Regions from separate parts of the Mus musculus genome. Here all the other regions are reported to be linked to region 1. The links are microRNA targets in miRTarBase. Many come from high-throughput screens and were not tested one by one. Region 1 holds a microRNA gene; each other region holds the end of a gene's coding sequence.

Region 1 (3,176 bases):
TCTGATTTATAGGAGGTGCACTCCATGCCAGACACTGTGGCAAGTTTAATACAATAACTGTGAGGTATCCGTTACTGCTAAAACTCAAGTTTAATAAATGTAAGCTTCATACTCATTTTAGAGACGAGAAACTGAGATTCAAGTATATTTTACCTACTTTAAATCTTAAATACTTTAAATCTTAAATATCTTTTTTTTTTCCTCTAGGGGCTGAGCACTCTGGCCCACCCTACCTAAAGTAACAGTTTGCCTCTACCCAGGTGCTCACAAACTCCCTTAATGTCTCCCCTCTTCCCCCACTCAGGATTTTCTAACACACAAGACTTTTACCGTCATGTTTATACGAGCATGCCTTGCCAAATGTCAACATGGAAGAGATGTTGCCAGTGTTGTTCACCGATAAATATCCAAAGCCACTAGAATAATGTGCAGCACATAGTGGTCTGTATTTGATTATCAGTGACCAGTTGGTTACATAACTCCCTCAGGTGCAAATTACCTGGAAACTGAAAGCACACAGCTTAGGAACCCAAGCTGCAGAGTAGACAGTTTGGGGTCTAAATTACATCGTCAGCCACTTCAGTGAACTCTGACCCTGTGTAGCTTGTTCTTCCCAAGCCTCAGTTTCCTTGGTAATAGAGTAGACCAGTAACATTTGCCTTTCAGGATGGAGTAAGGATTAATGCAGACATCTATGCAGTTTTTGGCATATAGTGGGCATTCCGTAAATGTTAACTTCTCCCCGAGGATGCTCTTGTGTCTTCTTGCTTCTCATTTCTCCTCTGATGGTCTACCCTCTGACTGAACCACTGTTCCACAGTGCTGTGTAAGAGGGCAGAGCTGCTGAGGGCAGAGGACAGTGGGATTATCTGTCCTGTTAACTAGCCCTAGCTGCCTGCCTCCTTCTTCCTCCTTCCAGGATGTTCCTGTTGCCAAGGAAACACAACCTCAGCCCTTGGCAGGTTTCTGACTCCCTGTGGCTTGGCTACTGAGCTTACAAAAGGAATGAGACAGCGGTGACCATGGGCAGAGAGGTAAGGGGAGGGATTTGACTGTCCTCCTGAAGTTGGAGTCTGGAATCTCTGGAACCCTGAGATGATGAAATGATGAAATGTTCTCTGTCTCCATGTTCCTCTAACAGAGGCTGTGTTGGAGTTCTTGCTTGGTCCAGCCTTCTTGGTAGGGATGTGATGCCCAAGCCCTGGGAGGGGGCCATAGCAGCCAGAGTGACTCATATTCAGACTCTTGGCCCTCGGAATGGCACCTTCCCAGAGTTGGGACTGTTGGTGATGGAGGTGACCTGGAGAAAGTGACCAGGCTGGCCTGGTGAGGGCGCTCTCCATGTGGGTGTGGCCTGCTCTTCCTGCAGGCTTTGGTGTGACTCTGGTAGGATTGCTTCAATTCTCAGCTCTCTGGGAACTCTGTTTCTCCCTTCCCACTTAGCCCTTGACTTGGAGAAGGATGAGAGACTGTGGCTTCTGCCCAAACCAGTTGGCTACCTGAATGAAGTGGGTAGGCACGGCAGGGCAGGTAAGCATGCTAGTGGGAGACAGCCAGACTGTCTGGGACGCCACCCCACCTTTGCTTATCCCAGCTGTGTGATCCCGAGGAACCACTTAACCCACCCCTATAATTATAGCCTCTTCCTCTAGGGATTGCTGCAGGGATTAAGCGAGTTGGTTCTTGTAAAGAGTTTATGTCCAACCTAGACACGCTGAGCTCACTCACTGAAAGCCATTATTGTCATTCTGAGGGGGAACATTCCTGGAGGAGACTGCATCAGACAGAGTAAAAGCGATATTATTGTTGTAGTTATTATTACTATTAAAATTGTTAAAGATCGTTTTGAGGGGGTATTCTTGAAAAATGGAACGAAGGATGGGAAGGATCCCACTTCTGCCTTGGCTAGAGTTGATCATGTGTTATTCACCTGCCCTGAAGGTGGCTTTTCCATTTTTTTTTTTTTTTTTTACTTTTTACAACTTGGAGCATAACCTAAAAAAAAGATGTCAGGGACCTAAGTGGGTCTATGGGACAGAAGAAAGATGGGTGTGTGTGCTCCAAAGTGGACAACGAGGGCTCAGAGGCCATGAGCCTCAGGATGAGGAAGTGGAGGAGTTAAGGGGATGGGGACAGTGGCCTCCTAAGCCTTGCTGAAGCTTGCACCCACTCACCCGTGGCTGATAACGCTCAGGAAGTGAAATGAAGGTCTGGAGCCAGGGGCACCCAGCTCCAATATCTGGATGCCTGGTGAGTGGCGGGCAGGTGATGTTGGGTTGGTTCAGAGTCTGCCCATCTTCCATAAAGTTTAACCTGGTATTTTTTTCCTCCAATATAAGCTTCTTGGGTGTAGGAGACTTAACCTTCTCACTGAGGGGAGCTGGTTACCTTCTTCATGAGAAACCCACGAGGTCCTTAATCAACACTTGCTGAATGGACACACGGATAAATGAATGCATAGTGTTTGCTTCTCAGGCGCAGTAACCTGAGAACCTAGCTAGACTTTTAAGAAAGCCCCTTATAGTCCCCTCCCACACTATACTTGGCTTTTTCCATCCAGCTGGAGGGAAGGTGGTGTGCGTGTGGGGTATCAAACATGTTATCTTTACTCACTGTTACAAACCTAGAGCCCTACCCAGGCCCTGTTGCAGAACAGGGGCTCAGCCAATAGCTGTTGAATGAATGAACGCCACGGAAAGCCTTCTTACCCTGAGTTTGCTCTCAGCAGTTAGGGAGCCTTGAACTTCTTTCTTTGACTCCCCTGACATTCCCACCAGATAGGATGAAATGGCACTGCCAGACCCCGTGGCCTGAAACTCAACCGGGGGTGGGGGGGGGGGAGGGATCAGGCATCCTCTGGAGTTGGCCGTCACACTTGGTGTCCTTGGCAGGCTGTCTCGCTGGTTTTTATTTTTATTTTTTCCTACTCCCATTTCTCATGCTGACATGTGTGGCCAGTCAATGGAGCTCGCTATCTTGTCATTTCCTACTGCTCTGCGCTGCATTTGCGACCAGTCCCCGTGGGCTCTGGGTCTTCCTTGTCTTACTATCTCAGATCCACTTGTTCAGGTCTGAAAAGGCAAGGGCTTCCGGGGTGAACGGGGAAAGGTCTGAGCAGCAAGTGTACAGCCGCTCACCCTTAACATGATGGCAGGAAGAGCTGCATGCCTGGTGTG
Region 2 (3,000 bases), not on the chromosome of region 1:
CAAGTTGACTTGGAACTCATAGTGTAGCCCAGCCTAGCTTTAGATTCACAGTGATCCTCCTGCCTCAGTCTCCCAACTGTGGAGTGACAGGCCTGTGCCAGCACACTCAGTTTAACTTAAAGGGATTTTAAAGTGGTTTTCTTTGTTAAAATGCAGCAGCCAGCATATTGCAAACATGTCCTCTCCTTTCTTGCAGCATTTTAAAGCTCTTGCTGAAGGCAAAAAAGTATTCACCCCTCCACCCAACTCTGCCTCCCAGGCTGGGGATGCGGAGACACTGACTTTCATCTGAGCCTCCTCCTGGGACTGTGCTTCAAAGTTAGATGAAGATGTGGTCTCTGTTGGCAGCTTAATGTCTCCCTGCTCCACAGCTGGGCTCTGTCAACATGAACCCTGCTGCCTTGTCCTCGAGGGCAGGGCACACCTTGTTTACACCTGCCTCCCGTTGCCATTCCAGAGGAAGGATGTAGCCACTCTGCTGTGGGCCTCTGAGTTGGAAGAACTGGGACTCTGAGAGCCCCAGGACACAGGTTGGGGACAGAGCTTCCAGAGACACACAGACTGCTCTGTCAGGTTGTGATGGAATACATACTGGTTTTCACCCATGGCTTCTGGCTCATTAGTGTCCCATTGCCCTGATGCTCTCTAGAGTGAGTAGGGTCGGGTTGGGGCCTTACAGCAGGCCTGCCTGTGCCTCTGAGAATCATGTCCTTCTATTTGACCTTCTGCCCTTCTTTCACCTCCCTTTCTCCCCAAGCAGCCCACAACCCCGAATCTTTCCCCAAGGCAATCATGGACATCTGCTCCTACAATCTTACATTCTTTTATTTTACTTTTGTTTGTGTTGTGAGGCAGCATCTCCTGTAGCCCAGCTTGGCTTCGAACTATCTGTGCAGGCTGGTCTTGAAGGCCTGATCTTCCCGCCTCCACCTCTACCTCCCAGGTACCAGGCCTTCAGGTATATTCAGCAAACCCAGTTTATTCTTAAATTTGTTGACCTATCTGGATAATAGACCAAGACCCTCATTTAGATGGGCACTTGCCCCTTACCAGCAAGGAAGCAAACTGAGTAATTTCCAGACCTCACTTGGCATCCCACCCAAACCACAGCATTAGATCAGACCATTTTTGCCCAGTCACATGCCAGCATAGTGGTCCAGGTTTCAGCTGTTCCTTCGTGTGATGTCTCCATGGAAACTCAAAAGGTCAGGCCTTGGAGAGTTTTCAGACAGTCAGATACAGGGAGGTTCCCAAAAGGTGGCATGCATCTTACACATCTTTGTGAATTTTAAAATAATTGTATTTGTTTTAGACTGGTTCTCTGTACAGCCGAGAGTGGTCTACAGTTCACTATGAAGCTCAGGCGTTACGAGTTCATTATCACCTTTTGCTTCTGGGTACTAGGATTACAGGCCTGAGCCACCGTGCCCACTGTTCACCCCTTCACCTGCATCCTTTGACCATCTTTCATGAAAAATTGAGAAAAGTGTTTCTCTAGGTTCTGCAATATGTTGAACTCCGAGGAGCGGGTTGTGGGGACGCCTGACTAACCACTGGTGGTTGAGAGGCACAGGCAAGAGCGTGTGGCTCCAGGGAGCACGGCTGTGGCAGTGTTTGGAGGAGCTGCTTAAGCGGGGTGGAAGTGGAGGAGAGATTCAGGAGCAATTTGGAGTGGTATCAACTGGTTCCCAGCCAGGAAACCTGAAACCGTTCTAGAGTTTTGTTGGGTTTTTGTCGCTGTCTTCAGACACACCAGAAGAGAGCATCGGATCCCATTGCAGATGGTTGTGAGCCACTATGTGGTTGCTGGGAATTGAACTCAGGACCTCTGGAAGAGCAGCCAGTGCTCTGAACTGCTGAGCCATCTCTCCTGCCCCATTCTGGATGTTTTTAACAAAGGACATTTAACACAACAATTTGGTGACAAAAGTATGGGGAAGGAACTGACAAGATGGCACAGCAGGTAAAGGTGCTTGTCACAAAGCTTGGCCACCTGAGTTCAATCCCTGGGACTCACATGGTGGAAGGAGAAAACTACTAAAACTTGTGTTCTGTAAGCCACGTGCACTTGCATGAGCATGCACACACACATACACATGCGGGCACACACACAGTGGTGCATGGTAGTTTAAAGGTTGGTATCTAGGAGGTGGCTGTGGCCAGATGATGCTGAGGGCAGAGGAGGGTTGCAGAGCCTCACCTACCACTGCAGGGACTTTGAGCAAAGTGGTTGCTTCCTCTCACCTCCTCACCTCCCATGACAGACAAAAATGCAGACCAGGAATCAGAACCCAGCAGCACAAGAATGAGGAATTTTCCTTTGTCCACGTGGAAGCTCTCAGCCCCACCCTTGGAATTTTTATGGGGACCTCATTGCACAGGCTTGATTGACTCCAGGACAAATACGTAGAAATAAAACCAGACCCAAAGACTGTGATCCAAAGACCCAAAGATTGCTAAGATGCTGGGGGCAGAGGGTGGGGTGGGGTGGGGCTGGGGGACACCCAGCAAGGCCTGTGTTTGGTCCTTCAGTATTCCCTCCTCTGTGAGAGACCCGCTAAGAGAACCAAGGATGACGCTGAGATATTTTAGGCTTAAGCAACTGAATGGGTAACCGAGCCATGTACTGACAGGGAGAAAGTGGTGTCACAATGGATTGCAGGGAAGGCTCCACTGTCAGCCTGACCAACACACACACAGACTGTTCATGAGCCTTACAAACTCAAACCAGCTGTGATCACGTCAGGCTTGGGGCTGTGTTGCTGCCTCATTCTGACACTAGGCCAGGCTCTCTGCTTTCTCACCATTAGCGTTAGAGTTTGCCTTATGGGGAGTGGAAGTGTGCAGTGATCGCTCAGATGCTCCGTCAGGGCTCCAGGGAACAGACCGCTGTAGCTACCGCTCTTATGGTCACTACTAGTCCACATTAGACTAACAGATACTGAACTGCTGCTCCCGGCGGGTACTCAGGTGCCTGCTGTGTGATCGAAAACATTTAAT
Region 3 (3,000 bases), not on the chromosome of region 1:
TTTCTGTTTTAATCTACTAAAATTTGATAACTTCAACTGTATTTTCCTATACTTCTAATCTTTACAGTTTTTTTAAATTGTAATTTTTATAATAACCTCTGCCAAGGAGCTTTGGTTACTGTTGCACAAAATACAAATATAGGTGCTAAAAACATGCCCATTTCGAAAGCAGGGGTCTTAAAAGGTAGGCTAAATATCTGAATTAATAGAAATAAGTAGAAATAAGCAGTAACCGATTCCACTGAATCCTAAAGTGAGGTGTTTAGGATCGAGTCAGGAAGACTTAACTTAAACATGTGAGTGCGTGAAAGGCAATTTCTGGTTAACTTTCTGAGTTATTGTCTACTAATTCTGTTTCCTAAGCAGATGCCACATGTGACCTGCCTTGTTCTGGTGAAGAGCCGTCGGTAGAACATGCTGAGGGACATTCTGTGGCATGCAACGGACATTGCAAGTTCCCATTTTCATCCAGAGCCTTTCTGAGTTTCAAGTTTGACCAAAATGCTATAATGAAAATCTTGGACCTTTGAGCCAGCAAGAGTATTGCAGAAGTCCCTCGATCTGAGACCTGTTGCGTGTGAGTGGCTGTCTCCTCAAGCCTTACCTTTCTCAGGTATCTGAAAGAAGTGCAGGGAGGCCATGTTTCTAAAGAGATGTTCTGTACAGACGAGAAACTAGAAAGAAACACAAGTTTGCACTGTAAATGCATTTAGAACTTTTTATATGGATTTACCATTTCAGTGTTTGGAACCAAGTTTTAGTTGCCTGTGTTTTTTTTTGTCTCTCCCTTATTTTTGTGTGACTGTGTTTTGTTTTATATTCTCATCAAGAGTTGTTTTGATTGCATCATCAGCAAGTAGCCATGTCAATAGGAGTGTTTCACCTCCCCATCTTAGTGATTGCAAAAAGCTTGCTTATTGAAAACTTAAAGGAACTTAAAACCCCAGTTACCAATGTACTGGGCATCAGAGCTGAACCGTGAGGTGAGGATGCAGGCGTTTACTCATCTCTGCCTCTAACCACTGAGAGTCTAACCTTCCAACTGGAGCTGCACAGTGAACCTCGAGCACTTCATCAGGACCACATCCACAGCCTGGAGAGAGATGGAGTCAGTGGGGAGCTGATGCTGTGGATATTGAGCTCTGATGTTTGCTGTCAAAAACCTGTGAGTGCTGGAGCAGAGAGCATGGAAGCAATAGCTGACAGTTACTCCAGGTCATGCCTTGACTCTCCTGCCTCCGTCCGTTCAGTATTGTGTCGTGATTATGCCTGTGTGAAACGTCTATGCGTATTCTAGTTGTGAGTCTGTGTGGAAAACTTCATTCTTAGTTCTATATTGCATCTCAACGTTGATCTGTGTAAGCTGGTATTATGTTAGGTTCCAGTTTGCAGTAATACTAGACTGACATGCTTTTCATTAATATCTTGAAGCCCCTGAGTTACAACGTGAGAAAGAAGGGGATCTGCAGTTTACCAGTAAGTCCAGCATGTCACTAGGGGACCGACCCTTGAAGTAATGTACTTAGATCACACGTAGGAATGTATTTTGTATTTTGCTCCTTCAGAATTCTTAAACCAAACACGGGTGACAGTGCCCACTTTGCAGAGATCGCCTGTTGTTGAGGACAATCACCAGAGCTTTAAGGAGGCAATATGATGTTGGCTGCCCCTGACCTCGCTGAGAATCTCTTCTGGGGTGGACTGTGCTGTTAGAGTGCATGTGTACACGTGCGTCTGTCGTGTGCGGTTTTAACAAGTGGTATCCACAAAGTATATCTCTGCTTATAAATAGTACTATAGAAATCTCTATGCTGTATATGTAGCCTATTTAACTGGGGGTTCTGCCTAACCCCATGGGACTTAAAAGGAAGGGCTATTATTGTAAGGAATTCACTTGGTATTACTACTTTGCTTTAGCTTTTAAATGACTGATTTTAAAGAAGAAATTATATTTATTCATGAAAGTGTCACTCGGTGCTAAGCAGGAGACTTCACAGTGATACAGTATGTTTGGAATCTTCTATGCGACTACTTTGTGAATCCTTCTGTGACCTTTGCTTTTTAATGCATTATATGATTGTGTTTGGAAGCCCTTACTGTTCTTGTCAGAAATACAGCTGCTTTGCTTGGGTCTTCTTGAGCCATATTTATAATTGGTCCCAGCATTCCAGATTTCTGTTAAATGGTTAAGGGAGTGAAAACTGAAGCTTGCCTGGCAGTGAGCCACTGTCACTCCCTGACTGTCACCAAGAAACCATTGTGTGTGTGTGTGTGTGAGAGAGAGAGAGAGAGAGAGAGAGAGAGAGAGAGAGAGAGATATTCTTCTTAAGTGAGCACTTCAGTCAGTCCCTGGTGCCTGTAGAGGTTGGATTCTCAGCTCTCCATACTAGAGCAAAATCAACTAGCTAGCACAAGGTCCATGGCCCTTAAAGTGGTTGACTGTAAGAACCAACCAGTGATGTGCTGCTTCATTTAATGCACTGTGGAACAAAGCAAGGGCATGGTTGGGGTGCATTTACAATAACTTTAGGCTTTAGGTCTCTCAACAGGCTGAAATGTTGAGAGAGTAAGGTTTGTATGTGTGATGTGACTCAACTATGCAGAAAATGTTAAGTTGGTGTTCTTGTTAATGTAAGTCCAGCGTACACACTTCTTCACTGTACAGTTTAGCTGGGAGACCATATTTAGCACAGGACGGGATTTCTTCTCTGAGCTATGTTAGCGTTTCTTCATAGGATCTAGTGATGAGGACTCTGAATATGCAGTAATGTGCTTCTGTGTAGTGCCGCATTTAGAGACAGACTCTAGAGGGAACAGTAGATACGTCGGCCTTATTATTATTTGTGTTTGAGAGGTGAGACTTTAAAATCGCTTTTAAACATCCTTAGGATCCAACTGCATGTGTTCCGAGGTGCAGTGCACTGTGAATCTTTTTAAGTCTAAGTTTGTAGGTGCTTTTATGTGTAACTTAAGTGGTTGGAAGAATGTTTAATAACTTTG

The links. Region 1 holds the annotated microRNA mmu-miR-3085-3p (UCUGGCUGCUAUGGCCCCCUC, at 1,206-1,226, opposite strand). A microRNA usually pairs through its seed, bases 2 to 8, with sites in the 3' UTR of a target mRNA and lowers its output. Matches are read on the target gene's strand: a 7mer-m8 pairs with bases 2 to 8, a 7mer-A1 pairs with bases 2 to 7 and ends in A, and an 8mer does both.
Region 2: the mRNA of Ift46 is a reported target of mmu-miR-3085-3p. Seed matches in the 3' UTR shown: 7mer-m8 at 1,690-1,696 and 7mer-m8 at 1,838-1,844.
Region 3: miRTarBase lists Dcp2 as a target of mmu-miR-3085-3p. The part of its 3' UTR that is shown has no 7-base or 8-base seed match.

Annotation. Positions count from the first base shown.
Region 1 is chr19:42,278,890-42,282,065 of GRCm38, forward strand. Mir3085 (microRNA 3085) reads right to left here and starts at 1,281; the gene lies at 1,193-1,281. Gm34347 (a long non-coding RNA gene) reads left to right here. Exons shown (of 3, transcript XR_386718.4): 1 at 1-1,034.
Region 2 is chr9:44,790,289-44,793,288 of GRCm38, forward strand. It overlaps Ift46 (intraflagellar transport 46), which reads left to right. Exons shown (of 12, transcript NM_023831.3): 12 at 197-2,426. The coding sequence ends at 292. Among named protein-coding and RNA genes, the nearest start is that of Tmem25, 7.5 kb to the right of the region's middle.
Region 3 is chr18:44,417,200-44,420,199 of GRCm38, forward strand. Dcp2 (decapping mRNA 2) reads left to right here. Exons shown (of 11, transcript NM_027490.1): 11 at 367-3,000. The coding sequence ends at 530. Among named protein-coding and RNA genes, the nearest start is that of Dcp2, 38 kb to the left of the region's middle.